Diceros bicornis minor: one gene and its partners. The protein of the gene in region 1 interacts with the protein of each later gene in a pairwise test. Links are inferred from orthologs where the notes say so. Each region holds a gene or a part of one and is shown on either strand. Other genes may lie near its edges.

Region 1 (7,876 bases):
AGAGTGCGTGAATTTAACCACTATGCCACTGGGCTGGCCCCTGGTCCCTTTTCCTTTGGGTGGGCAGAATGTAAGAAGTTCACTACCACTTCTCAGCCTGTATAAAAACTATTAAAAAACAATAAAAAATAAAAAACCATGAAAGATCCTGAATAGCCAAAGAAATCTTGAGAAAGAACAAAGCTGGAGGTATTACACTTCTTCATTTCAAACTATATTACAAAGCTATAGTAATCAAAGCAGTATGGTACAAAGTCCTAGCCAGAGCAATTAGTCAGGAAAAAGAAATAAAAGGCATCCAAATTGGAAAGGAAGAAGTAAAACTATCACTATTTGTGGATGATATGATTTTATATACAGAAAATCCTGAAGACTCCACCAAAAAACTATTAGAACTAATAAATGAATTTAGTAAAGGTGCAGGATACAAAGTCAATATACAAAAATCTGTTGTGTTTTTATATACTAACAACAAACTATCAGAGAAATTAAGCAAACAATCCCATTTACTATTGCATCAAAAAGAATGAAATACCTAGGAATAGATTTAACCAAGGAGGTAAAAGACTTGTACACTGAAAACTATAAGACACTGATGAAAGAAATTGAAGAAGACACAAATAAATGGAAAGATATTCCATGCTCATGGATTGGAAGCATTAATATTGTTAAAATGTCTATATTACCCAAAGCAATCTACAGATTCAATGCAATCCCTATCAAAACTCCATTGGCATTTTTCACAGAAACAGAACAAACAATCCTAAAATTTGTATGGGACGACAAAAGATCCCAAATAGCCAAAGCAATCTTGAGAAAGAAGAATAAAGCTGGAGACATCATGCTCCCTGATTTCAAACCATATTACAAAGCTATAGTAATCAAAACAGTATGGTACTGGCATAAAAACAGACAAACAGATCAATGGAACAGAAGAGAGCCCAGAAATAAACCCATGCATATGTGATCAATTAATTTATGACAAAAGTGGCAGGAATATACATGGGTAAAGGACAGTCTCTTCAATAAATGGTGTTGAGAAAACTGAACAGCCACATGCAAAAGAATGAAACAGGACCACTATCTTATACTATACACAGAAATTACTTTGAAATGTATTCAAGACTTGAACGTAAGACCTGAAACCATAAATCTCCTAGGAGAAAACACAGGCAGTAAGCTCATTGACACTGGTCTAGACGATGCTTTTTTGGACTTGATTCCAAAGGTAAGGGCAACAAAAGCAAAAATAAACAAATGAGACTATATCAAGCTAAAAAGCTTCTGCATAGTAAATGAAACCATCAATAAAATGAAAAGGCAACTTATTGAATGGGAGAAAATATTTGCAAATCATATATATAATAAGGAGTTAATATCCAAAATGTATAAAGAACTCACACAAGTCAATAACAAAAATCAAGCAATTTGATTACAAAAAAAAGGAGTGGAGGATCTGAATGGACATTTTTCCAAAGACATATAGATGGCCAAGAGGCACATGAAAAGATGCTCAACATCACTAACTATTAGGGAAATACAAATCAAAACCACAAAGAGGGGACAGCCTGGTGGCGCAGTGGTTAAGCGCGCGCGCTCGGCTTCGGCGGCCCAGGGTTCGCAGGTTTGGATCCCAGGCACACACCGATGCACAGCTTGTTAAGCCATGCTGTGGCGGCGTCCCATATAAAGTAGAGGAAGATGGGGATGGATGTTAGCCCAGGGCCAATCTTCCTCAAGAAAAAAGGGGAGGATTGGCATCTGATGTTAGCTCAGGGCTAGTCCTCCTCACAAAAACAAAACAAAACAAAACAAAAACCCCACGAACAGATATCACCTCACTCCCATAAGAATGGCTATTATCAAAAAGAAAAGTGGGGGCCGGCCCGGTGGCGCAAGCGGTTAAGTGCGCGCGCTCCGCTGCGGCGGCCCGGGGTTCGCTGGTTCGGATCCCGGGCGCGCACCGACGCACTGCTTGGTAAGCCATGCTGTGGCGGCGTCCCATATAAAGTGGAGGAAGATGGGCGCCGATGTTAGCCCAGGGCCGTCTTCCTCAGCAAAAAAAAGAGGAGGATTGGCGGATGTTAGCTCAGGGCTGATCTCCTCACACACACAAAAAAAAAAAAAAAAAAAAAAAAAAAAAAAAAAAAAAAAAGAAAAGTGTTAGGGAGGATGTGGAAAAAAGGGAATCCTTGTACACTGTTGGTGGGAATATACCAACAACAAGTATGGAGGCTCCTCAAAAATTAAAAATAGAATTATCACATGATCCAGCAATCTCACTTCTGGGTATTTATTCAAAGGAAATGAAATCAGAATCTCAAAGAGATTTCTGCACTCCCATGTTTATTGCATCATTATTCACAATAGTCAAGATATGGAAACAACCTAAGTGTCTGGCTAGAGATGAATGGATAAAGATACAATGGAATATTATTCAGCCATGAGAAAGAATAAAATCCTGCCATTTGAGACATGATGGAGGGATCTTGAGGGCATTATGCTAAGTGAAATAAGTCAGAGAAAGACAAATGTATGGTATTACTTATATATGGAATTTAAAATAAAGTTGATCTCAGAGAAACAGAGGGTAGAATGATGGTTGCTAAGAGTTGGGAGGTGGGGGAAATGGGGAGATGTTAGTCAAAGGGTATGAACTTTCAGTTATAAGATGAATAAGTTCTGAGGATCTAATGTATAGCACGGTGACTATAGTTAATAATACTGTATTGTATAGTTGAAATTTGCTAAGAGGGTAAATCTTAAGCGTTTTCACCACACACAAAAAGGTAACTATTTGAAATGACAAGTGTATTAATTAACTTGATTGTGGTAATCATTTCACAGTGTTTATTAAATCATCACATTGTACACTTTAAATATATATAATTTTATTTGTCAATTATACCTCAATAAACGTAGAAAAAATTAAAAATAAAATCAATGGTATTTGTTTTCAAAAATAGTTTCTGCAATGGTTGAGTAGTGTCTTGTGTATAAACTTGTATCTTTCCTCTTGCTAAAGCTAATTTTTAAAACACTATAAAATTGTTTTAATTTTTTCATTGAGGTATAATTTTCATACAATAAAACTCACCCTTTTTAGTACACAGTTCTGTAAGTTTTGACAGACACATAACACCACTACAATCAAGACATAGAACTGTTTCATAACCCCTCCAACATTCCCTCCTGTCCCATCGTAGTCAACCCTTCCTCTCACCCTCAACTCCTGGAAAGCACTGATCTATTTTCTAACCCTAAGTCTTGCTTTTTCAAGAATGTCATATAAATAGAGTCTGGCTTTTTCCACGTCTCATAATGCCTTTGAGATTCATCCACATTATTGTGTGTATCAAGAGTTTAATCCTTTTTATTGCTTAGTATTCCATTTATGCCTATACTATATTTTGTTTATTGATGCACCAGGTGAAGGACATTTGTGTTGTGTGCATTTTGGGGGAGATATGAATAAAGCCACATGTGTTTTGTACAAACAAACATTTGTGTACAGATTGTGTGAACTTGTCTTTATTTCAGGTGAATAAATACCTAGGAGTGAAATTACTAAACTGCATTTTAAATGTATGTTTAACTTTATAAAAAAGATCAGATTGTTTTTTGAAATGTAAATCACCAAGATGAGATGTCATACCCATCCCTGATCACAAATGGGGATGGAACCTGGAGAGTGGAGATGGTAATGTAAACCTCCAGATGCCCAATCTAACCTATCATCCAGTTCTGTAACACCAATATACTCTTTCCCCATTCCCACATCCTCACCTCTCAGAGGAAGTAGAATACATTTAGCAGTGTGCATAAAAGCTTATTGTTCTGTGAGGCCTCCCATGCTCTCTGTTATTTTCCTCTATCAGGCAGAATGGCTGATCCGAGACCAGCGGCAATGATGTCTGAGATACGGTAACATCAAGAGAACTTCCACCACTTACTTTGCCTATTACCTCCTTCTTTTCCTTCCCTCTGGAAGGAAAGATAGAACGTTGATGCAACAGCAATGAGTCTAAAGGGAAAAATTATACTGGCATTGACTAACAGATCTTGTTTCTTTACCTAGTAGGGAATGAAACATGCATATAATTACCCCTATTACAAAGTAAGAATTAGTAAATACCATGAGTTCCATTAATTATGCGTAAAAACCTGGATCTGTCCCAACCAGAGGACTGTCTTTGCCCTTTTCCGCTTTTAGTGTTCCTTCTGATGTTTTTGTTGTTGCTCTCTTTCTTGAATTGTACTTCTTTTGGGATTGCTCATTGCATATGCTGTTTCTTAGCCTAAAATAGCTTTCTCCATCTTCTCCTTAGACTAAAATTTCTCTCCTAATCACTCCTTCTTCCCAGGGGCCCCAGTAGGGCTGACTGCACCCCCAGCACTTAGTTTTAACCTGGAGCAATTACCACTACTTCCTTCTGCCTTCAGTGGGAGGTCTGTTTTCTTATTCTCTATAGGAACCCACCTCTCCGGTCGCCTATCACAAGGACGCTGCCCAGAAAACGTTCTGGTGAACCTGAGGCCAGGGAGGGGGCCGGGAAGAAAGCAGCGCTGCTCCTCCGGGTACCCGAGCACCCGGCACCCGAGCACAGGGAGGCCGCCCCCAGTGTCATTCCGAGGCCATCTAATCCGCAGTGAGCGCCCAGTGGTCAACACACGAACGGCTCCTGGAGCAGGCTCGCCAGGCGTGCCGGTGAGCCCGGCGCGCCGCTAACTGTGCAGCTGGCGCCCCCGCCTGACGCTGGAGGCTGCGCGCGGCCGCCCACCATCGAGGCGACGGCGGCTAGAGAGGCCGGCGGGCCCCGGGCGCCGCGGCGGCGCGGCCGCAGGGTACGCGCGCCGGGCGGCCCCGCGCCACTGGCTTTGTAGCCATTTTAGGAGGAGACACGGTTTGCTAGCTGGGGCGCGGCTTCAACTTTAATAACTTTATTGGTGGCGTTATCCGTAGAGCAGGCGTCGCGCCAGTGGCTGGGGGAGGAGGGCACGCCTCGCGGGAGGTGATTGGGGGTGGGGGCGTCCCTGGGCAGGGAACGCGGGGATGCAGGAGAGTCGCCGAAAGCGGGTTTCCTGAACAGCGGGCAGCGAGGGAGTCGAGGGTTTCGGGCACTCCTGGAGGCCAAGGGAGGGAGGGGACCCCGGGGCGCCGCTGCCCTGGGGCGGGGATTCCCTTGCCTGGGTCCCCAGGGGCGGGGCCGGGGGCGCCCCTGACGCTGCCACTGGGGTGTTCCCCGCTCCGTGTCGTTCCCTACGGCAGGTGGCCTCCGACTCGAGCTGCAGCCATGGGAAACACCACCAGCGACAGGGTGGCCGGGGAGCGCCACGGCGCCAAGGCTGCGCGCGCCGAGGGCGCCGGCGGCCACGCTCCAGGCAAGGAGCACAAGATTATGGTGGGGAGCACTGACGACCCCAGCGTCTTCAGCCTGCCGGACTCCAAGGTGAGCGTCCCCACGCCTTCAGTTGGTGGCGATGCTGCAGTGGGCTGGGTGTCAGGGCGCCTCCTCCCTTTCTTGGTTCTTTCTTATCACACTGACTTGGGTTACAGTTTTTTGAATTAAAGGGATTTTTTGGAGACGAGATGTTGGATGGTAATTCCTCTTGCGGTGCTGCCTTAAGATAGGATAGAGGCGGAGTTCTTGTTTTCCGACTAATCTGTTGGCCACATTTTTAGGATTGGGACAGTGGACCCCCCCCCCCCTTCGAATACAGGTGCTCACTTCTAGACTATTGGTGAATTTATAGGTTATAACCCTGGTGGAAAACTTCAGAGGGTTAGGTTGCCTGAGTTGCTAACCGTAGGCGGCAGTGTCTCAGATTTGCCCTGAGGTGGTTAAATGAATTTCTTTTTCCTGACAACTTCTACGTATCAGTATCCTTTTTGCTCCACTGGGAGCTCAGCACTTCTGATCCTCTTCCCCTTTGGCATGGCAGTGAGCAGCAACCACTTGCTTATTTGAATACTTTCTCCTAATCTTGGGGACAATAAAGGACATCATTTCGCTGACTGCTCCGTTTTCATCCCATACTTTATAGTTGTGGCTGAGCTTGTGCTTCTTTCACACTCAGCTGCTCCTCAAGTGGGAGAGCAAATGATTCCAGGATTTCTCCACTTCTCAGTCGTACTTCATAATGTTACATGGCTGAAAACTGACAACCCACCGCTGCCCTGAAGACCTTGCTCTCAATTCCAAAGACTGAGGAAAGTGGCAACTTGTATCCACCCTAAAGAAAGGATAGATGGAGCTAACAACAATGTGATTACCATCTGAATGTTTCTCATCACTTTTAGAGCTGTCAGCATTAAATTAATTCCTCCAGGTAGTCCAACTGGGATGAAGTAGAAAAGTGGAGAGATTGAGGAGATTGGGGTGTGTTTGACGTTTCTTGTCACTTCATCCCTTCGCACCCAACTTGGGTTTTAGAAAGTATATAGAGAATGATTTGCCTCGTTGGTAGCACATGATTTTGGATTCTGTTTGTTTTCTTGGATCCCAATTGAGAACATAATCACAGAAAGAGAAGCAAGGGTGATTGAAAGGACCACTTCTTGGTATTTCTTCTCCATTCCTTTTTCCTTCTCCCACTTCAGGACTACTTCCTCATCATTTGGGCTGTCTACCCAGCCATCTGAATTTACTTCTTCAAAACTTTCTCAAGGTGATCGACCTCATTGTATTTTTACCCTTTTCCTACATTGATGACTCAGGATTTAAGTATAGTGTATTTGTCAAACTGTGACCGCAGTAATCAGTGTCCTGAATAAAAGCCAAGTTGCTCTATCTGAAATGGAGCCTATTTTGGATCATTCTTACTCTTACCTCAGTCTTGCCGTTTGTGAAATAAGAAAATCAGTTCAGATAATTCCTAAAGTCTCTTCCAAATCTAAAATTTTGTAGTTCTCAATCTACTTTCTTTACTTCTTCCCTCAATGTTTTATTTGAACATTTTCAAACTATAGTTCTAATTGTTTTGTCTCTTTTCCTGATGATTTTGCTGACTATTTACCTTGGAGTAAACAATCTTTCTGCTAGTCAGCTGCACTCATGCCTACCACAGAAATGTCATGTCATATGTGGAAGGGCTTCCTTCCAAAGCTAGGCATATTAATAGTTTGTAGCTTTCAACTTCTAAACTGAAAATACTAAATCATCAAAGTAACTGATAGAAACAGTGGCAGTGGAGCCTACATTGCTTCCACTGCCAGCCTTCTTCAGTGGACTAGTTCAATGGTTCTCAATTGCACATTAAAGTTACCTAAATTTGTTTAAACACTTCATGGAAAATTTGAAACATTTTCCATGTTTCAAAGTAGAGAGAAAGTGTAATAAACTTTTAAACTTTTAGTTTAAACAATGATCAAATTGTGAATGAATTTATATCATCTATACCCCAATCTACTCTTCCCCCACCAATTATTTTGAAGCAAATTCCAGACATTGAATATTATTTTACCTATAAATATTTTAGGATATATCTCTAAAGATGAGGTTTCTTTCTTTGTTTATTTTAAAATAATCACAGTATTATTTTTCTGAGAAACTTTTTAAAAATAGATTCCCAGGTCCTATATCCAAATCAGAATCTGAGGGTTATTCTTAGGCATATGTGAAAATTTCTGTAATTCTAATGGAGCCAGTCAAGCCTCTTGCATTGCTTTAAGAATATGGAGGTCAAGGTTTTCTCTTAAGCCGCTTCCTTACATAATGTGAAAGTCCCTTCAATTCTCTTTCTCCGTGTACTTTGGATTATGCTGCTACTGATGTCTCATAGTGTAGTTTTGAGGGATATTGAGAGACAATATGGAAGGTAGATTACCTCAGCCATTTTGAAAATAAAGCCCAAATGAAGAAGCTAGCCCTTTTTT
Region 2 (7,648 bases), on another chromosome or scaffold:
TTAGTACATGGGATTTGACTCCTGCTGCTGGCCACTCTGCGTCCTGCAGTGAGGCTACCTCTCTGGTTAACCTCCAGGTAAAGAAAGAAATAAAAGTTTCCAGCCAAATAAACTAGACTGAATCTCCCTGCCTGTCTGCCTCCCTCTCCTACCTCCCTATCCACCCCCACCCCACTCCTACACCACTGGAAACAAACAAACAAAAACACAAAACAGAGTAATCCTGAAGCCAGGTTCTGCCAAGCACTGGACAATGTTCTTACTGGCTTCTCTTCCAGATATCCCTGGAGCTGGGTCAAAATAGTAATTTCCAGTCTATAGTTCTGAGGTCATTTATTGATTCAGCACACAAATATTTCCCAAGGCTCTACCATGTGCATGACACTCCACTCTGCTGGGCTCAAACACACCTCCTCACACCCCTTCAAAGTGCTCAAATGCCAGAAGATTCAGATAAGACCCCAAATAACTCTAAGGTAGACAAGAATATTATTAGTCAGTGGGACAGGGGAGTTGGTAATGAGAGTCAGACAAGAGGAAGAGTGCTTTCTGAGTGGAGCATCATCACATAGGAATTTAGGGAGGAGGGGGCATTTGAGCTGAGCCTTGAAGAATAGGGAGAATTTGAACATTTTTTATGGATAAAAACAGTCTAGACAGAGGGAACTGCATAAGCAAAGATAAATTTTTTGGTAGAAAGAATGTCGCTTTAGGAGTCAACAGACCTGAGTTTGAATCTCAGTTCTGTCATTTACTTCCTTAAAGAATACTTTCCCCTCTCAGGTCCTTAGTTTCCTCATAGTAAAATGGCATTATTAGGCTAGCTAACTTTTAAAGGTCCTCTATGTGCTTCCATCCTGACATAGTTTTTCAAATATCAGGTAGACCAGTTTGCCTCAGGATAGAATAGGTGAAAGAGAATAACGTAAGGGTAATTGAGTCTGTGTTATGATGAGTATTGAATGCCAACCTGGGAGCCTGAGCAAAGAAAGAAAATAGAAGTCAAGCCCCAGGGCCAAGCCCTGAGGTCGTACATTTAGCAGGATTCCAATTTAAGAACAGGAACTTTGAAGTCAGGGTGGCCAAAGATGGAAACCTAGCTTTATTACACACCAGTAGTTCATTTAAATAGTCATTAAATAGGCCCAGTGGCGCAAGCGGTTAAGTGCACGCCCTCCGCTGTGGAGGCCTAGGGTTCACGGTTCGGATCCCGGGCACGCACCAATGCACCGCTCAGCAAGCCATGCTGTGGCGGCATCCCATATAAAGTGGAGGAAGATGGGCATGGATGTTAGCCTAGGGCCAGTCTTCCTCAGCAAAAAGAGGATGATTGGCAGATGTTAGCTCAGGGCCGATCTTCCTCACAAAAAAAAAATAATAATAATTAAAAAATAATAATAAATAAATAGTCATGCCACCTCTCTGAGCCTCAGTTTCTTCATCTCTAAAATGGAAATGCTAGTAAATAACTCATGGGGCTGTTGTAAAGATTAAATGAGATCATGTGCAAAAAGTGCATATAGGTATGTTACTTTCCTGCCCCTTAGTCCCTTCTCCCCAGTGCCAGGCTTTAATTAGTCTTTGCTGTTCCTTCTCCTCTTTCTCCTTCTCCAAAGCAGGCTTCAAAGTATATCCAGAATCCAACCACTTCTCTCCATCCCCAATACCATTCACCTGGATTATTGTAATAGCCTTTTAATTAATCAGCCTGATTCTATTTTGCCCACTTACAGTCTATACTTTATTTTTTCCTATTAAATACAACTTTATTGTTTTGGTTGGACTACATTTCCTTTTTTTTTTATTGCGGTAACATTGGTTTACAACATTATGTAAGTTTCAGGTGTACATCATTATCCTTCGATTTCTGCATAGATTACATCATGTTCACCACCCAAAGACTAATTACATTCCATCACCACACATGTGTGCCTAATCATCCCTTTCACGCTCCTCTCTCCTCCCTTCCCCTCTGGTAACCACCAATCCAATCTCTGTCTCTGTGTTTGCTGTTGTTTTTATCTTCTGCTTATGAGGGAGATCATACAGTATTTGACCTTCTCCCTCTGACTTAGTTCACTTAGCATAATACCCACAATGTCCATCCATGTTGTCACAAATAGCTGGATTTCATCGTTTCTTATGGCTGAGTAGTATTCCATTGTGTGTATATACCACATCTTCTTCATCCATTCATCTCTTGATGGGCACTTAGGTTGCTTCCAAGTCTTGGCTATTGTGGATAATGCTGCAATGATCACAAAGGTGCATGTATCTTTATGCATGTGTGTTTTCATGTTCTTTGGATAAACACTCAGCAGTGGAATAGCTGGATCATCTGGTAGTTCTATTTTTAATTTTTTGAGGAATCTCCATACTGTTTTCCATAGTGGCTGCACCAGTTGGCACTCCCACCAGCAGTATATGAGAGTTCCTTTCTCTCCACATCCTCTCCAACACATGTTGTTTCCTGTCTTGTTAATTATAGCCATTCTGAAGGGAGTGAGGTGATATCTGATTGTAGTTTTGATTTGCATTTCCTTGATATAAAAGACAACCTGACAACTGGGAGAAGATATTTGCAAAGCATATATCTGATAAGGGGTTAATATCCAAAGTATATAAAGAACTCATGCATCTCAACAACAAAAAAAAACTGACAACTCAATTACAGTCTGTTCTTAATACAACAGCCAGAGTAACCCTTTCAATACTTAAGTCAAATTATGTCACTCATCTGCTCAAAATGCTACAATGTCTCCCTACCTTACTTAGAGCAAAAAGTAGAATCTTTACAATGATCTACTCCCTTTTAGCTTTTGGGCCTCATTTATTCTTTAGCCACACTGTCTTCCTTGCTGTTTCTCCAGTAGAAGATAGACATTCTCTTTTCACTTGTTCCCTCTGTCTGGGTCCTCTCCTCCTAGCTCACTCCATCACCTCCTCTATATTTTATTTAAATGTCACTTCTAAGTGAGGTCCTCCTAGACTACCACATTTAAAACTGCAACACCCCCTAGCATTCCCTATCCTCCTTCCTGCTTTCTTTTTCTTCACAGCATTGATTATTACCATCTGATATACCATAAAATTTAATTACTTATTAGTGTTTTTCCTGATTAGAATATAAGCTTAATAAAGTCAAGGGCTTTGTCTGTTCACTGTTTACATCTCCACGCATAGAACAGCACCTAGCACTAAATAAATACTTGTTGAATGAATTAATTAATACAGTAGTCTCATACTATGTATCAAGCACTAAGTTAAGCAGTTTGCATACATTATCGCAGCAAATCCTGCCTTGCAATGCAGACACTGTTAAGATCCTTATTTTACACAAGGAAAAACCTTGAAACTCCCAGAAGTAAAGTGATATTTCCAAAGCCAAAAAGGGAGTAGTTAATGGGGGTGTCAGGCTGGGTTGGACTTTATAGAGTAGCACCTTCCCTGAGTAGGAGCACAGCCTGGACTAAAGGTTGTGGCAGGTTTTGGGAGGGGGGAAGGGATGGGGAAGGGTGGGGGTGGAAGAAACACTGGGATAGAGATTGGTTTTGTGGTCAGGAGGTGATCTGGTTTCTGGAAGAAAAATCTTGAGTTTATTGGCATCTACTGGCAAGCCCATGTCTTTTTCAACAATTGGAGCTTTACAAAGGAAATCTCCTTAAGCGTAAAGAAAATTGGGAGCTGTAGCTTCCTTGGATTTCAGACTGCAGGAATTTGGCTGCTTGGTGCACTGGCTTTGAGGCAGAAGCCATACTTGGCAGAAAGAGACACCCGAGACTAGTGAACTGATATGAAAATAAGAAAGCCCACTACTCACATGGTTCTTCTCCCTCTTTCCTTCCCTTTTTCATAACCTACTCTCTTCATATTTCTTTAATTTGTGCATATTTGTAAAACATCCAATTAATCTAGCCTGTCATCCACTGGAATGTAACCTTAGGAAGGCAGAGCAGAAATGTTTGTCTCTTGTTCACGTCTGTATCCCCAGTGCCTACAACAGTGCCTGGCACACAGTAAGCATAAAATATATAGTTGTGAAATGAATCCCTATCCTTACACACAAAGCCCTCCTCCTGGGGGAGGGGGCAATGAGGAGAAGGGAAAGCTCTTGTCAGTGGTATTATGTACCAGTGCCATGTCAAGTACTCCTGCCAGGGAATGTGGGCAGAGGGGATACCATGGATGCAGGCTGGGTGCGGGAAGATCAGTGGAAAGGGAAGAGACGCTCAGGGTAAGGACTGAATTCCAAAAAGCAGGACTTTGACCCTGCTTCTGCAGTCTCCATCTCACTTTGGAGGGGGCCAGTCAGAAACCTCTGGGGGAGCTCCTGCCTCCAAAAGCCCAAGACTAGTGCTATGGGGAACAGATGGACAAAAGCCAGAAAGATGAGACAGAAAGGCCCAGGAGCTCTGGGAGAGGGAGCAGAGTGAACAAGTCCCTGTGAAAGTGAAATGGCCCTTCATTTGAATGCAAATGCTATGTAAAAGCCTGAAGCCCCTTGATGTCAGCCCAGCCATTGGTGGCCCATCTATACTGGGCTACCAGTCACCTGGAAACAGTCAGGGTAGGAAACGCGGGATGGAGTAGCCTAAGGGGGGCAGAGGAGCTTGCAGCACAGCTACGGACTGACCTATTGATTCCCCGCTGCTTCTCAGAGTCAGGTTGGGGCCTTACAGGGATTTCAGGATGGCTTAGAGAGTTTCTTCCTCATACCCAAGCCACCATGTACAGAAGCTGCCTTTTGGAAAAAGAAGCGGGCATGTACCCGGGCACTCTCAGGAGCCCTGCGGGGGGCGGCACCGCTGGGGCTGTCGGCACCGGGGGCGGTGGGAGTCCGCTGCCAGCCTCCAACTTTGCAGCGGCCCCAGCTTACGCACACTATATGGGGTATCCCCATATACCCAGCATGGATCCTCACGGGCCGCCGCTGGGAAACTGGGGCCCACCCTATAGTCCCCCTCGGGGAGACTGGAGCGCTTATCCAGGGCCATCAAATACAATGGGCGCGGTGCCCATGAACGACATGACCTCGAGCCCCGCAGCTTTTGGATCGCCGGAATACAGCAACCTGGGACCCGCGGGCGGTGGAAGCAGCAGTGGCAGCCTGCCAGCCCCAGCCGGCGGGTCACTGTTCCCCATCGACGCCAGCACCGTCAGTGTCAGTTCTCCCAGCAGAAGTCGTCACAGCCCCTATGCGTGGATGCGCAAGACTGTGCAGGTGACTGGTGAGTAATCGATTCTAATGCCCTCACACCTTTCCTTCCTTTGCTTCTCGTCTACTTCCCTTGGCCTGCCCGCCCTCCTACTCCTCGGGCCTCTCCTGAGACAGCTTAGCTGAGGAGACCACTGCGTGGCTGACTGCCCAGGGCCCCCGCCCATTAGTGACCACCCTCGCGTGTAGCCCTGCTCAAAGCCCACAGTGTGTGGCACTTGGAATTAAACCGACCTTAGGGGTGTTTTTCATCATTCCCTGATCAGTCAAGGAAGCAAGCGGGTGAACAGTGGGCATGTTGAGTCACAAGGATCAGCATCCAACCCTGTAGTTGCCCAGATGGGAAAGCAGATGCACGGAAAAGATCAAAGGGTGAATGAGGCGAAAAGATAGCCACGGTGTCCGGAGGCTCAGTCACTGCTGCTTGCCCGTTGCATTTCAAACTCTTCCCTACGTGGGCGAGTCGGCCTCTCCCAAAATCTCGTGATGCTCAACTTAGCTTCACGGTGCTTGGCTGGCAACAGACCCTCCAGTTTAGCCACGAATGCCCCAATGGCAAAGCGGCCTCCTCACCCTGGCCTCTCAAGGAAGCTCCAGCTTCCTTCGCCCAAGTTGGCAGAGGTGAGCTGGACTCAAACCCAATGCCTTCTTTCAATGTCCTTTCCGCCAGTGGAGGCATTGAGGAAGGGTACAGCACACCGCATGGACATAGTAAACTACTCAAACCCTAACATCCGCTGGGCGCGCTCGAATATCAGCCCCAGCACTAAGTGGTTAAAGCCCTCATAACTGTCCCGGCAGGCGTCCCGAGGCGCAGGGTTTGGATGCAGGTCAGTGACCGCGCGCGGTGAAGGCCCAGAAAGCCCAGCCTAACGCTGACCCACGCTCCTACCAGCAAGCCAGTGGGCGGCTGCTGGGACCCGCGGGCGGGGGAAGTGGGCACTCTGTTTTAATCTTGGACGAGGTGGTAGGCGGGGAGATGTTTGTTTTCAGCTGTAGTTGTTCTTTTATCACATTCTTATTATTCCAACCCGTTGCTCCCTGTGACTCGAGAAAATTAGTAAAATTCGACTCCATCACTTTCATCCCTCTGGGGAGGAAATGACATTTCAATAGCATCTGTCCACAATGATTATGCTCCTGTTCACAATTCTGCACTTCTTCTCCCTTCCAAAAAGTAAAGGTGGGAGGGTGGGAAGGGATCAACTTTTACCATTAAGAGGATTCAGCCGGGAGGAGGCAGTTTAGGACATACTAGGGCAGCAATCTCAAAGTATAAGTAGAGCTTAAATACTTGGCTTTAAAGTGTTTGGAAGTAAATCTGCATTTTTTAAAAATATAGGTGAGTCGGCTGACTAAATAGAATAAATAGAAAATGAGGTTAGGGTGGGGCATACTCAGGGCTGTTATTACATCTAATCTTAGGGTTGTAATTAACGTCCATTCACTAAGCCCTAACCATTAGCAACAGACAGGAAAGTAGCTGCTCCCAGTCCAGGATTAAGTTTTGAAACACTTTAGAAGAGGAAAGTTATCTGTATGTTGTTTGGAAGAGAGAACGATGGGGAAAAAGGGACAAGATAAAAGAAATCTTGAGTCATGAATTTTCTGTTTATAAGAGAAAATACGACAAGTTTCTCTGCTTAAAGTCTTCCATTTGGATTTGCTTTTATGGGCCAGAGTCTCTCTCTTAGGTAATTCTGGTGCCAAGAGAGTTTAGAAAGAGACTACTTAGTCTGTGGTATCGTCATCATTAGTGAAGCTATGTACCTGGCTGTACAATGCCACCTTCACAAGATTTTCTATCCAACTTCTATGAGAAATTTAAAATTGAATGATTTTGGACCTCCTTTGACTCCTGGCAGCCTATCCTATAGATGAGACTTTATTAAATTCAATCATTTTAACGTCCTATAAATTAAAACTACCACTTTGCTATATTTTTGTAGCCCAAGGTGCATATTTAGCAACAATTTAAGAATATGATGGAAACTATGGACCCTCTCCCCAGAAAAATGCACAAAAGCACACCTGCACGCACACACGCACACACACACATCATTTTAAAAATAATTTTGGGATATTCATGGATCCACTGAAGCCCTTTCATGGATCTCAAGTTATGAACTCTACAAAAAAATGAAGCTGATCATCTCATTGGATCACTCCAAACCAAAATGCACCCATTTGTGTGCTTAATACATAGTGAGTATTAAATAAATATTTGTTAAATGAATGAATGAGTCGGATTCTCCTAAATTTTCTACTTCACTCTATAGTATTGTGGGACAACATTTGGCTTATGGCTGAGAAGAAAATAGATGAACTACAAAATGGAAGTAACCTCTCCCTGATTAAGGTAATCAAATGAAAGCTCTTTCCATTACTGAAAAATGTTTTAAATAGCGGTGAGTTAAAGAAAGAAAAATACAC
Region 3 (7,731 bases), on another chromosome or scaffold:
CTACTGGGGCTTTGGGGGGAAAATAAATAAATAAATAAAATCTTTAAAAAAAAAAAAGAAAAACATCTGAAACAATCAACAAACTGTTAGACATAATATGAGAGTTCATGGAATTTTCCAATTATAATATTAACACAAAATCAATAGCATTTGTCTACATGAGCAAAGCAAATAGAAAAAATTATAGAACATAAGATACTATTCACAATACTATAAAAGCTATGAAATGTTTAAGGAGTACATTTTAAATAGTATTGTCAGGGAAGACCTCTCCAATAACGTAACAATTGAGATGAGACCTGAATGAAGTGAGTTCCGTAAGCAGATATCTGAAAAAAGAGCATTCTGGGCAGAGAAAACTGCAAGGACATATGACTTCACACCTTTGAAATCTTTCTTCCTTTCAACATCAGAATATTTTTCTTTCTGTTGAGTTTGGTCGTGTTTTAACATTTAAATATTTTATCCAAGTTAAGAAGAAATTCTCAAATAATTCTTTTATAGCCTTGGCATAGGGCAGTTGTTTTTTTTTTTTAAACAAAACTTAAAAGCCAAATAAGAAAAGATTGATGACATTTCTAGAAGGCCAAACCAACAATAAGCAAAGTAGAAATACAAATGACAAGTTGGAGTAAAAAGTATTTTCATCTCTCTTCTCCAGACCCTACAATTCATCTGGCTGAACCCCCTCATCCTTAATACTCAGCTCAAGGGTCATTTCCTCCAGAAAACCTTCCCTGATGCTCACCAAGGGCATCCTTCTTTGATGCTCCTACACTTGTCTGAGCATCCTTGTGTCACTGTTCTCATCACATTCTTTGGAAATTAATTGTAAACTGGATTTGTGTGTGTTAATCTTTTCTTCCCAATTAGTTTGTAAACATCAAAGGCATGGGATTTTTGATGTGAAATTACATGAGATAACATAGGTGAATTTCTTAGCACCATTCCAGTCTTTCATGCGTCTGCTACTTTCTGACTGTGTGACTTTGTGTAAGTCACTTAAACTCTCTGAATCTCAATTTCATCTTCTGTACAGGAGGATGACATTAATGCCAATTTTATAGTGTTGCTTTGAGAATTAAATGAGTTTGTGCATATGAGAAATGTAACTATAATTGAATATAATTGAATACATCTAACCCAGTGTCAGGCACAGGGAAGGCACCATTTTAATAAATGTTCACAGAAGGAGTGAGTGAATCCTATAGGGAATATTTTGTTAGAAGGAAGCCACCCTAGCTCTGTGGTGGATGGGTGGCTGTCTCTGGAGACAGAAACCACAGGAGATCCCAGGGGAAGGCAGACCTCCCAGGTACACTCTGAACAGTAGCCTGGGAAAACCAACTCCCAGGAGCCCATGTGGGGGGCATTTCTATCTCCCTCCCCAATCTGTGCTATTCACACAATAAGAAGGAAGTCTCTGAGGACTCCAGCAGAAATGAATAAGTCTAACCTGCCTCCCGCACTGCTTCCTGAAGAGGAGCTGACACACAGGAGAATTGAACCTGGTCCTGTTAAGTGCTGATTTTTCCAGGCATTCCATCTCCTCTGCCCAGGTATTTGTCTATCCACGCTGTCCAACAGAACTTATTGCAGAGATGGGAATGTTCCATACATATGCTGTCCAATATAATAGCCACTAGCCACATGTGGCTATTGAGTGCTTGAAATGTGGCTAGTCTGACTAAATAACTGATTTTTAAATTTTATTTAAAATTTAAATTGCACAATGTAGTTCTGTACAAATGTTTTTGTTGGTATTTCAAATTACCATTTGATGAGAACCTTCTACATGCTACACACACTTGTATAGATTATTTACTACACAGCCTCCTGATTTTCCTGGCTCTGATCTACTCTCTACACAGCAACTAGAGCAACTAACCAGGTCCCTGACTGGGGACTTAAAATCACTTAAGTGATTAAAAATCTGTCAATGAGCTTCTGTCACTTACAGGATCCAGTCCCCCACATATGAGTTCTCCAGAATCTGCCCTTACCTACTGATTTACCACTCCCGCCTTGCTCTTCACCTCTGACACACTATTCTTTTCTTTGCCCATGCTCTTTTTGTTGACTCAACGACCCTTTCTCCCTGTACTACCATTTTCTTTGCCCATCTTACTCCTACTCGCCCTTGAAGAGTCAGATCAGATACTCTCTCCTCCAGGAATTTTTCCCTGAACAACCCTTTACCTATCCCCTGTACCCCAAGCTCGGTTGTGTGCCCTTCCTCTGGGCTCCCACAGCCTCTCATGCTTTCTTCTATCAGAATATTGATCATTCTAGGTTGTAATTACTGATTAAATCTCTTTTTCCCTTCTGGACTACGTGCTCCTAGAAACCACAGACAGTGTTATACTCACCTCTTTATCTCCAGCATCTGCACAGAGTCTGGCTCAGAAGAGGAATCAACGGATGTTTAAGTGAATTATTCTAAAACGTGCTAGGTTCTTTATTTGCTAGATTTAAACTTGTCAAATGCATTTTAATCCATCATCCCATTCGTGACTTAGAGCACTCTTTGTGGTAGGCAGGGCCTTTGTCTCAGTTTGTTGGAAAAGGAAACTGAGGCTCAATGAGTATAAATGATTTATCCAAGATTATAAAACTATTAGGTCAGAGTTTGAGTAGAACCTGGGTCTTCAAACTCCTTTTTTCCATCTTCCTATACTTAATGAAGCTCCTTTGTCCTCCTCAGCCCTCAGCAACCCCTCTCACACTGAAATTCCTACAGCCCTCACACTCTTTATCAGTCATTAGGATTGATTTGTGAAAGCTCGTGTGTTTTCATCTTGATAGTTGTGTTATCATGGCTTGTGAATTTTAAACTTCTTAAACGTGAGGGATATTTCTGAGGGGTATTTTCATGTACCTTTCTGTAGAAGATTGTTGTGGTGCCCACACCTTATCCCTGATTTCACTGCAGGCGAAGGGATAGTTCCATGCATGTTGCCAGCATTCCACCCCAAAAGCTTTCTGGGCCCTCTGCTTTTCTGCCTCAAGGCTTTCTCTCAAACCCTGGAAGGCTGCTTAGACCTGGGCAAGCAAAAGCAGAAAATATGAAAGAGTTTAAGCTGGGGGCTGGAGGTAACCCTCAACCAATGGGGGTGGAAATTAAGAGGTAAATGACCCAGTCTCCTTGTTCTTTAGTGGGACAGTGCTGAGGCACATTCCACGTGGTTCTTCAGTGTGTCTCCAGTAGACAGTAAGCCCAGTCATCTACTAAATGAGCAATCAGCTCAATAACACATTTTTTCTTGGCTTTTTCCCCTTACCTCTTTCACTCTCTCCACCTCACTTCTGTTTCCTGGGCTTACCTCCCAAACAAATTACCAGCACCCAAGTCCTTGCCTCAGGCTCTGCTTTTGAGGAACTCAAGTGAAGACACTACTTAACTATACAGGAGCTTCTTTAGAGACAACCATTTGCCCTATGTGGTTTGTACTCTAGCCATACTGGGCTTCTTGTAGTTTCACTGCTCATCCCTACACTCTGTGCCATGGCTCATGCTGCTCCTTCTTCCTTGCATACTCTTCTCCTTTGCCTGGCTGACAGCTATTCATTCTTCAAGACTCAGCTAGGGTGTCCATTCCTCTTTGAAGTCTTCACTGGTCCCCGCCCACCCCCAATTTAGAGTTCCATCTCTATAATCCTGTAGCACTTCGAACACTAATTAACCTCTAACCAAGCCATTTTCTCTCTTTCTCTGTGAGCGCTTTGAGGAGAAGGGGCCTACCTACCAAGGTAGTTGTTAAAAAATTAAGCGCTCAATAAAACTGGTAGGAATGTGTAGGAGTGAATTCCGGAATCATTTTTCATTTCATAAACATTTCCTGAGCGCTTAATTTGCGTCAAGCACTATGCTGTATTATGGAGTACACAAAGATGAAGAGACCAACCCCAGGCATCAGGAAGCTCACCCTCAAGTGAGGAAGACAGAAGTAGCTAATGCAAAGAGCATTGTTAAGTGTTATTAGAACAGGGGTGTATGGGGAACTGTGGGATGACAGAGCAGCTCAGGAAAGGGTCATGTTCTAGCTCGGTCTTAGAAGATACTGGCGATTCCCCATGAAGAGATGGGAAAGGTCATGCTAGATATATTGAGGAATACCCCAGCACAAGGGAAGCCTTTTCTAGAGTCGGTGGCAGGGGCAGTTGTAAAGCGGCGAGGAGCCCGATCTCGGGCCTCTGGGTGTTCGGGGTGAGGTGGGTACAGAATTATTGATTCTCAGTGCATTTCAGTTGAAGACATAAGTTATCCAGCACTTCGACCAGGGCCAGGCACACTGGGGGGAGAAGCGCTGGGAAATCAAGAAACCTGTCTCATGCCCCCAGAGTTGAGCACCAACCAAAGAAAAGCCAGCCCATCTACCTCTGCGGTCAGCAGGAGGACACACGTCGGCGGCATGAGAGGGCCATCCCAGCAGACCTGCCTAGTCCTGGAACCCCAGAGGCGGCTGAGCATGCTCAGTTGCCAGGACGCCGTGGCGGGGTTGCGGTGGAGAAGCGCCGCGGAATTCCCAGCCCCCCAGGCGCCCGGCCCCCGAGGGCTCGCGAGCCGCGGGGGCGGGGCCTCCGACGCACGCTCCCTCCTCGCCCGCCCCCAGCCCCTGCCACGCGCCTGCCGCCCGGGCGCCGGCCGCCCGTTGCCCTGGCAACCGTCGCGCCGCGTCTTCCTGAGGGAGCTCCTGTCAGCCCGCTGATCCCATCGCCCGCTCCTCACTGCCCCGCGATTTTTGCGTGGGCTCAGAGGCGGAGGGACAACAAAAAATGGCGGAGCGGAGCCAGACGGCGCCTGAGGCAGGTCTGTGGGGGCGGTCGATCAGGGGAAGCGGTGAGGCAGCAAGGCTGTCCTGGGCCTGAGGGGACAGGGGACTTGGGTATGGCCCTACTCCTGAGGAGGCAGCCCCTGGGCGTTTGCGCGGTGGGGCTATGACCTCGGGGTCAAAGGTCAAAGGAGGTGTGTACCCCTCTGCGGGACGAGCAGATACCTCGGAGTCCCGGTGGTGCGGGGATGTATGAGGGAATGTGCACACTCCTGAGTGAGCATGGCCCAGAAAGGGCTGGGATCCCAGGAAGACACAGAACCCCAGTCCTGAGGGGCGCTTGTGATGCGGGCTGATGGTGGGGTAGGCTGGGTCATGGAGAAGGTGTACACAGTCCTGTGGGAATATGGGAAGGCTCCCTAAAGGGGCATGGTTTAGAGGAGAGGGTCTCATTCTGAGAAGGCAGGTGTATGTGGAGGAACGTTACTTTCATATCAGGCAGTGCCATGGAAGGGGGGTATACACCGAGTATTGTGTTTTGGGGAAATGTAGTGCCTTAGGGTCAGCCCAGGCCACAGAGAAAGTATACAAATCCTTGCATGGGTCCTTAAGAGAACAAGAGACTTGAGGGGACACCCAGAGCCCCAGTCCTTCAGAATCTTACCAAAGGAGGCTGGAACCTGAGTGTGAGTGTATGTGGGATCAGTGATCTTGAAGGTCATTCAGAATCACAGAGAGGTGCATGTCCACATATCTGTGGGTGGAAGATAGCCTTTAAGGTGCAGGGAGACTGACAGGAAGGGAGACCCAGGATCCTATTCCTGAGGGGACCCCATTGTGAGTATGGTCAGGCTTGGAGAGATAGTGACCTAAGTGTCTTAGAGGGTTATAGACGAGAGCCAGGGTTTTCACAGTCCTGTGTGTGTGAGAGGGAGTTTGTCCCTAGAAGTGGCTGGTGACTGTAGAACTGGAGCCTCAGTACAAATGATATATGTGTGTGTGTAGAAAAGCAGTGGCTTTGGGGATATATGTGGTGGTAGGTGATGGCAGAGGTATACATAATCTTGTATAGGTGTCCTGATTAGGTATTTTGGTTACAAGAGTGACCCACTTGAATTATCCAGCCCTTGTGGGTGGGGAAGGTGGTGATTATGGTAAGACCACACAGTGACTGAAACTGGAAACTGTATGAAGCCATCAAAAATGGTTCAAGACCCGAATGGTTTCTCTTTTTTTTCATGGCACCTCTGTTTCTTCCACCAAGTAGTTCATCTACTCATTTTGTAGTTTAAGCTTCCTCATAAGTTGAACTTGCTCATTCTTTTATTCATTCCTCCACTCAACAAATATTTATCGAGGGCCAACTATATGCTGTGCACCAAGTTAGGCACTGGAAACTCCCTGCCTGTGATTCTCTTACCTTGTTCTTTTTTTTTCTTTCCCATAGGCTTACTGCCTTCACACGTATTATTTAATCCTCTTATTTTTATTGCTTATTGCTTGTCTTCTTCCACTAGAATATAGGCTCCATGAAGCCAAGTGTCTTTGTTGTGTTTGTTAAGCCCATGTATCTAGAACTGTTCCTGGTATAGAGTAGGTTATTAATAAATATTTGTTAAATGAATAACTGAATGACCTGATATTGTCTAGAGGTTCAAGAAGCTTTCTCAGAGAAAGTGATATTTTAGCTGAGATATAATGGAGATTGAATAAATGAAGAGAAGGGCAAAGAGTAATCTAGGCAGAGGGAAACTACCTGCAAAGACCCTAAGGTAAGAGGAAACAGGATGTGCTGTGTTTAAGGAACTGAAATGAGGCAAGTGTGGCTGCATATAGAGCAATAGGAGGAGAAAAGAGGTAAGCTGAAGCAGATCTTGCAGGGCCTTATAGGTTATGATACCAATTTTGGTCCAAAATCCTAATAATAAAAGGAAACCATTGAGGGCTTTTGAAAGTGGGAGCATGACGTGATTAGAATCATTAAAAAAATAACTCTGGCTACAGTGTGGATAGTGCAGAAGATACAAGAGTGGATATTGGGAGACCTCTTAGAAGGTAGCAATGGAGATGGAGTGAAGGAATTGAGAAACGTTTAAGAGATAAAATTAATAGGACTTAGTGAAAGATGGGCATGAGGGAGAAGGAAATATCAAGGCATACTTCTAATTTTCTAATTTGTGCAACTGGATGGTTGGTGGTGCCATTATGGAGATAGAGAGCATTTGAAGGGATCTTGGCTAAGTTTGAAAGGGAAGGACATGAGTTTGGTTTTGGACATATGGAGTCTGAGGTATCTTTGAGACATCCAAATAAGTGGAGAGATTGACAAAGCAGTTGAATTTACAAGAAAAGTTTGGGTTAGTATAGAGAGAATTGCTGAAGTCATGAGTGTGGATGAAATTGCCTAGAGGCAAAGTAAAGAGTGTGGGGAGAAGAGGCTTGGGATTAAGTGTTGAGTAGCTGCAATATTTTATTGCCTTCCAAAGAGACGGAAAAGGGACAACCAGAGAGATAAGAGGACAACCAAAAGAATGGTTTGAGATAAATGGCATATTCAACAGATTGAGTGCTGCCAAGTGATATAAAAAGGAAGATTGAAAAAGTAGATTTAGCAGCAGATTTAGCATCACTGGTAACCTTGATGAGAGAAAACTGATGAAGGTAGGAGCCAAACCATTTAACTTCTGAATCACTATTAACTGGCTTAATCTTTGTTTCTTTTTTTTTTTAATTTTATTTATTTATTTTCCCCCAAAGCCCCAGTAGATAGTTGTATGTCATAGTTGCACATCCTTCCAGTTGCTGTATGTGGGATGCAGCCTCAGCATGGCCAGAGAAACGGTGCGGCGGCGGTGCACGCCGGGGATCTGAACCGGGGCCACCGGTAGCAGAGCGCGCTCACTTAACCGCTAAACCACGGGGCGGCCCAATCTTTGTTTCTTAATTCAGATTCCTAAGA
Region 4 (7,205 bases), on another chromosome or scaffold:
GTCCCTAGCAGGGCAAGTTCACAAATCTCCCTGTTTCCACTCTCTCCGGAGGTTTCGATGAAATGTCACCGCTCCTTGGAGAAGGGAGAGAGGACAGAGGGAACCCGTGCTCTGGGGCTGGGAGAACAGGGCCTTCGGGAATTCTCCAGGGCTGGAATCCCAGTTCCCCACCACAGCCTGTGTGTGATCCTGGGCGAGTCATGGTGCCCATGCCTGAAGATGTTCTCATCTCTAAAATGGGAACATAATAGTAATACAGTGTCTATGTCCCAAGGTTATACTGAGGACTGAATGACATCCTGCATAGAGAAGGCTTGTGTATTGGTTATCTATGGCTGTGTAACAAGTTACCTCAAAACTTAGCAGCTTAAAACAGTAAACATTTATGATATTATACAGTGTCTGAGGGACGGGAATCCAGGGGCAGCTTTACTGGATGATTCTGGCCCAGGGTCTCTCGTGCTTATAGTCAGATGTTGACTAAGGTTGGAGAATCAACTTCCATGGTGGCTCATTCCCGTGGCTGTTGGCAGGAGGCCTCAGTTCCTGGCCACACAGACCTCTCCATGAGACTGCTCGAGTGTCCTCGTACCATGGCAGCTGGCTTTCCTTGGACCAAGTCCCAACCCTGGAAGTCACACTGTCTTGTCTGCAATATCCTATTGGTCGCACACATCTGCCCTGCTCAGTGACAGGGAACAACACGAGGGTGTGAATACCAGGCTGAAGATTACGGGGCACTACCGAGGAAGGCTGTTGATTCTTAGGATTGAAAGTTGTTGTTCTTGCTTTTATTATTATTATCAGCACTGAGCCTTCCCATGACTTTCCTATCAAGTCTTATAATCCAAGTCATTTTCTCCCTTGATCTCTCTGCTCCCGTGACACTGGACAGCTTGTTTCTCCTCCAACAAGACAAAACGATTCCAGCCTCCAGGGCTTTGCACCTGCTGTTCTCTCTGCCCCGAAGCCTCTTCCCCGAGATCTTCACTGATAAGAGTCCTTCATCTTGCAGCTCCAAAGTCACCTCCTTCCAGAGAGGTCTTCCCTGGTCATTCATCTAAATTAGATGCCTCATCCTCACCCCAAACCCCATCACTCTCAGATGACCCCGTTTAATTTCCCTCAGAGCTCTTGAAAGTCTTTGAAAGGATTTTGATTTTCTAAAAAATCTCTTTCCTTGTTCACTGCCCGTTTCTCTGACTGGAACCTGGAAGTTCAATCCTGTGAGAGCAGAGAGGCTGTGTGTCTTATTTCTTGCTATATCTCTAGTTCCTAGAGCATGGTTGACTCTCAAAAAATATTTACTGAGTGGACAGTAGAGTCAATTTATAATAAATAGAACTCTCCCTCCCAAATGGGGGGTGAGAAGGATGGGACAGTAAGTGAAGGAAGGGGCAGGACCTAAATTAATGTCATCTGTTTTTTATTCATTGGCTTATTTTTCAAATATTTATTGGGGGTCCTGGAGACCCGGCAGGGACTGGGGAGACAAACAGGTAAACAAACTTATAAATACGTCATATTTAATACACATGATGTCCTGCAGAACAGGAGAGAGAAAGAGTATGTCTGTGTGTGTGTGTGTGTGTGTGTGTGTGTGTGTGTGTGTGTGTGTGAGAAACCCAGTTTAGGGTGTGGGATGGCTCCCCCGGGAAGTGATATTTTGAGCTGTGTCCTGGAGGAGGAGAAGGGTGAGCTGCTGAGGGGGGTCCGGATCAGAGGAGTCATTCCTGGCCCTGGGAACAGCTTATGCCAGCATCTGGAGAGGCCGAGAGGTTTCCTGAGGCCAAGCTAACGAGGGCAATAGGAAGCCCTAGAAAGGTTCTCATGGTTTTTTTCTTTTTAGTTCTTATCATTGTTTTTGTTTCTGAAAAGATAACACACACACGGTTCAAAAGTGATACAAACTGTATAAACAAGGTATGGATACAGCGCACCTCCCCAGAGGCAGCCACTCTAACCACAACGTGTGTCCTTCCTGGCAATTTTCTATGAATATATAAGCACATATATACATATATATGTATTATATATATATTTAAAAGAAGGTAGCGATTACATATATAAACAGATGTTATATATAATATATAAAATATATAATAGATGTTATAATATATTTTATATATTTATATTTTTAAGTTAAATTTATTTTTGAATAAATTAAATATATTTATAAATACATAGTAGATAAATATATTAAATATATATGTAATCACTACCTTGTATTAAAAATCACAAATGGTAGCATGCTATATACACTGCTCAGCACCATATTTTTTTCCTTTGACTATATATAATATATATTGTATATGTACATATTATATAATATATATTACCAAATTATACATAATATATATTGTATAATACACATACACACACCACACACCCCTATTGTCAAAGTGTAATTTAAAAATATTTAAAAACCTGACTTTCAAAGATTTATTTAAGCCATTAAACGAGGGGACCAGCTGTTTCAAAGGAGACTTCAAGGAACAGAGATTAATACAGTTATTCAGGAAACGAATAACTGCTGAAAAATGTTTGCCAGGTTAGATAGGAAACTGGTTTAAGTCCTACAGGGGAACCAAACTGTATCCTTTGAGGTTCTCTTTTCTATCAGTGGAATCATTGGCAATCAAACTTCTAGAAGTTACTATTTACCTTGTCAGAATAATTAGGAAGTAATTAGTAAGTACCCTAATCAATAGTGAATGATAAATCCAACAAAGACACAGTTCTCTAGAAAATGAAATGATCCTTGTGTGGGTCTGTAGGACAAGCCTCCAGGGGGACCTGGAAATGACAGGCTGTCATCCTTTTGTCTTATTGCCAAGCTTAGGATGATTTTTCTTAACTATATACTAGAGATCTTTTAAAATCAATTCATAGAAAGTAGCCTCCTACTTTTTAATGACCATATAGTATTCCCTTGCACACATGTACCGTAATCTACTTAACATAACTGACTGAATTTACACAATTTATATAATTTATTTAATATATCCCCTTTGGTGGGCACATAGGCTGCTTCTACATTTTGGCGATTTTAAAGATGCTGCATTAAAAAAGAAACATCTACTCGTAAATAACAACAATGATCACCAACAATTGCATAGGACTTACTCTGTGTCAGGCACTATTTTGAGCACCTTAAATGGACGTTAATGCATTTAACCCTCACAACAACCTAAAGACATAAATGCTATTTTCATTCCCATTTTCTGATGAGGTCACTGAAGCACCCAGTGAAGGTGAATTGCTGGGAGAAGGAAAAGATGGCCTTTTTCTTTGATAAATATTTCTAATTTGTTCCGATCCTCGCTGCTGCCGACCTGACACGAGTGTGCCTGTTTCTCCACACTGAGGCCAGCCCTGGAGTCATCAAACATCTTTTATCTGGGCCAGCCCAGTGGGGCATAGTGATTAAGTTCATGTGTTCCGCTTCGGTGGCCTGGGGTTCACGGGTTTGGATCCTGGGCATGCACATATACACCACTGCTCATCAAGCCACCCTGTGGCGGCATCCCACATACAAAGTAGAGGAAGATTGGCTCAGATGTTAGCTCAGGGGCAATCTTCCTCACACACAAAAAAACAAAAAGAACCTCTTTTATCTTTGCCAACCTGATGGGTCAAAAATGGTCATGGAAGATCATAACTCACTGTCATTTTAATGTACACTCTCTTAGGGTGACCAACCATCCCAGTCTGTCTGGGACTCTTCTGGTTTGGGAGCTGAAGGTCCTACACCTCTAGAAGCCCCTCCGTCCCAGGCAGACCCAGAGAGAGCTGGTCACCCTACTCTCCCAGATTCTGCATGAGGCTGAACATCTCTTCCGGGGTCATAGAATGAAAAGATCTTGGAGAGGGAGTGACAGGATCAGATTTTTTAATGGACAGAGTAGGAAGAAGGGCTTCCATGTAGGATGCCCATTACAGCTTCAGCTCTCTGCTTTACAGACAGGCTCTCCATGAAGCTTTGACAACCTTAAGCAGAGGGTCGTTTTATGGGTAGGGAAACTGAGGCGCAGAGAGATAAATTGCCCAAGGTCACATACCCAAGAAGAGACTGAGGCAGGATTTGAACCTGAGCCTGCCTGTCACCACTGTGTGAGTAACTGGAAGTGTTTGAGCATTGCCCCTTCTTCTCTTACAGGCCCCTGTCCTGGGCCCCAGTGTCTGTGAAGATCATGATGGCGTATATGAACCCGGGGCCCCACTATTCTGTCAACGCCTTGGCCCTGAGTGCCCCCAGTGTGGATTTGATGCACCAAGCTGTGTCCTACCCGAGTGAGTACAGTCCTTCTCCCCACCACAGGCTGGCCCCCACCTCTTGGGGGCCTCTGGGGTCCCTTGCCTTCAGGAAGAAGATGGGCACTTATAGGGATGACTGACAAGGTGGCTTTTCAATCATAGAGCCATACACCAGCCATATGTGTTCATCTGCAACTGCAAAACACTACTCCGTGTCACCTAGGGAGCCAGGAAAGCAGAAGGACATTCATAGACATTTAGGGTAGTGGTTCCCTCTGGGGTGACAGAGGGGGAAGCGATCTGGAAGGGGGACCCAGAGGAAGTTCCATCTGTTAGCAATGCTTTATTTCTAAGAGAAGTGAGCACTCAGTTTTTTGTGGCATTATTCTTTAGTTGTTTTTTCTCTTATTCAGTTGAACATGATGGACCTGCCACTTTTATAGGCTAGAAATGGTTAATTATCTGCAATGTCATGTTTCAACTGAGTGCGTCTTAGTGCATAAGAAATTTTAGAAAGGGGGTGAAAACCAAGCTCTTACAGCTCCTTACAGGGCTAAAGACAGGTCTCCTCAGAGTGAGGCCTGAGCCCCATCATGACAGGCAAAGAGGGACCCCATTTCCCAGATGGACAGAGTGAGGTCAAGAAGGTCAGAGAATAGGCGCCCCCTCAGATTTGGCAGATAAACACCCAGAAAGGGCTTCTTAGCGTCCCACGCACCCTCAGGGCCTCACACCAGCAGAGGAAGAGAATGGGAGGCCTGGATCCCCCTGAGGGTCCCATTTTCCCGTCCTCTCCCCAGGCGCCCCAAGAAAGCAGCGGCGGGAACGGACCACCTTCACCCGGAGCCAGCTGGAGGAGCTGGAAGCCCTGTTTGCCAAGACCCAGTACCCGGACGTGTATGCCCGCGAGGAGGTGGCTCTGAAGATCAATCTGCCTGAGTCCAGGGTTCAGGTGGGATGTTCTGGTCCCTGGGCCCCTCCTGGCCCTTCCTGGGCCCAGAGTGAAAGGAAGAGGAAGAGATCATAGAGTAACAGCCAAAGTCATAAAGGGCCCTAATAATCCCTCATCCCTGTTATTTCACTGGCCTCCTCTCTCCCACTCTCCTCCATTCCCATCCCTTCTCACTCTACTCTGGCGACACTGTCCCCTTGTTCTTCCTGTAATGTGCCCGCCAAGCCCACTCCTGCCTCAGGACCTTTGCACTCTCTGTTCTCTCCACCCAGAACGTTCCCCACCACCTTGTTCAAGTCAGCCAGTCAACTCACCTTGTCAGTCAGTGAGACTCACACCGGCCATCCCACTTAAAGTTGCCATCTTCCCCCGACCCAGCTCTACTGCTCCCCCATCTTGATCAACAGGTTCTTCCATAGCATTTATCACCTTCTAAAATACAATGTGATTTACTTACTTACTGTTTATTTGTAATCTGGCTCTTTCAACTTGAATGCCAGCTCTGCTGATGTATCCTCAAAGTAGTAGAAGATGGTTAATGTGTGTTAATTAACTGATTGGATGGATGGATGGATGGATAGGTGGACGGATGGGTGGGTAGATGGGTGGATAGGTGGATGGATGGATGGGTGGGTGGGTGGGTGGGTGGATGGATGGATGGATGGATGGATGGGTGGGTGGGTGGATAGATGGATGGACGGGTGGGTGGATAGATGGATGGATGGGTGGGTAGATAGAGTGCCCCATAACTGATTGCAAACTGGAGAAGTATGATTCTGGCATGTCTCACCAATAAGCATCATCATTCCTGGGCACCACGAGGGCTCTCCTGGGCCTCCTGCCCACTCACTCACACGATTTCCCCTCTTCCCCCCTAGGTTTGGTTCAAGAACCGCAGGGCCAAGTGCAGACAGCAGCGGCAGCAGCAGAAACAGCAGCAGCAGCCCCCAGGAACACAAGCCAAGGCTCGTCCTGCCAAGAGGAAGGCAGGCGCATCCCCAAGACCCTCCACAGATGTCTGTCCAGACCCCTTGGGCATCTCAGATTCCTACAGCCCCCCTCTACCTGGGCCCTCAGGCTCCCCCACCACGGCAGTGGCCACTGTGTCCATTTGGAGTCCAGCCTCAGAGTCCCCTTTGCCTGAGGCCCAACGCGCTGGGCTTGTGGCCTCGGGGCCTTCTCTGCCCTCAGCGCCCTATGCCATGACATATGCCCCCGCCTCTGCTTTATGCTCCTCCCCCTCAGCCTATGGGTCTCCGAGCTCCTACTTCAGTGGCCTGGATCCCTATCTCTCTCCTATGGTGCCCCAGTTGGGGGGCCCAGCTCTCAGCCCCCTTTCTGGCCCTTCTGTAGGACCCTCCCTGGCCCAGTCCCCCACCTCCCTGTCAGGCCAGAGCTATGGCGCCTACAGCCCTGTGGACAGCTTGGAATTCAAGGACCCCACAGGCACCTGGAAATTCACCTACAACCCCATGGATCCTCTGGACTACAAGGATCAGAGTGCCTGGAAGTTTCAGATCTTGTAGAAGATACTCTTCTCCACCTCTTGTCTAAATCTGCCTCCCTACAGCTTAGATACTTGGACAGCGTCCCTGAGAAAGAGCAGGAGCTAGCGGTCCTTCCAAAGGTTGTGGCCTCTTTGGTTTCGTGTGTGGCTTAGCTGAACACGGCCCACCCCTTTCCTCCCTGGGAGAGAGGCTCCTCCCTGTCCTGGGGCAGCTCAACAGGGTCTTAGTAATTCTCTCAACCCCAACACCATCTCACGTGGATTCTAACTGGCATATTAGACCATGAACCCCAGACTTCAGAAAACTGGTGCTGAGAACTAGCCCGGAGACGAAAGTAAACCAAGCTTGCGGTTGACTTGGGGGTAATGCTTAGGTCTGAATCGAGATGCCCTTGAACAAACAGGTAGGGAGGCTCGATTCCTTAACTTTCGATTTGGGACACTTCTTTAGCATACGGCTAGAGATCCTTCTAGAAATTCCAAAGACGG

The links.
Region 2: the proteins of PRKAB2 (region 1) and CDX4 interact in binary tests that used the Homo sapiens proteins (3 or more experiments, as listed by UniProt). The link is inferred for Diceros bicornis minor from reciprocal best matches to the Homo sapiens genes PRKAB2 and CDX4.
Region 3: the proteins of PRKAB2 (region 1) and BEND5 interact in binary tests that used the Homo sapiens proteins (3 or more experiments, as listed by UniProt). The link is inferred for Diceros bicornis minor from reciprocal best matches to the Homo sapiens genes PRKAB2 and BEND5.
Region 4: the proteins of PRKAB2 (region 1) and CRX interact in binary tests that used the Homo sapiens proteins (3 or more experiments, as listed by UniProt). The link is inferred for Diceros bicornis minor from reciprocal best matches to the Homo sapiens genes PRKAB2 and CRX.

The regions. Positions count from the first base shown.
Region 1 is NC_080743.1:52,464,999-52,472,874, reverse strand, and holds the start of PRKAB2 (5'-AMP-activated protein kinase subunit beta-2), read left to right. Parts: upstream 1-4,869; 5' UTR 4,870-5,012; intron 5,013-5,178; exon of another isoform or gene 5,179-5,269; 5' UTR 5,270-5,294; coding exon 5,295-5,450; intron 5,451-7,876. UniProt on the Homo sapiens protein: Non-catalytic subunit of AMP-activated protein kinase (AMPK), an energy sensor protein kinase that plays a key role in regulating cellular energy metabolism.
Region 2 is NC_080781.1:66,733,513-66,741,160, forward strand, and holds the start of CDX4 (homeobox protein CDX-4), read left to right. Parts: upstream 1-4,629; 5' UTR 4,630-4,726; coding exon 4,727-5,228; intron 5,229-7,648.
Region 3 is NC_080752.1:12,544,451-12,552,181, reverse strand, and holds the start of BEND5 (BEN domain-containing protein 5), read left to right. Parts: upstream 1-4,711; 5' UTR 4,712-4,776; coding exon 4,777-4,810; intron 4,811-7,731. UniProt on the Homo sapiens protein: Acts as a transcriptional repressor.
Region 4 is NC_080773.1:23,297,786-23,304,990, forward strand, and holds CRX (cone-rod homeobox protein), read left to right. Parts: upstream 1-4,187; 5' UTR 4,188-4,193; coding exon 4,194-4,293; intron 4,294-5,057; coding exon 5,058-5,209; intron 5,210-6,087; coding exon 6,088-6,735; downstream 6,736-7,205. UniProt on the Homo sapiens protein: Transcription factor that binds and transactivates the sequence 5'-TAATC[CA]-3' which is found upstream of several photoreceptor-specific genes, including the opsin genes.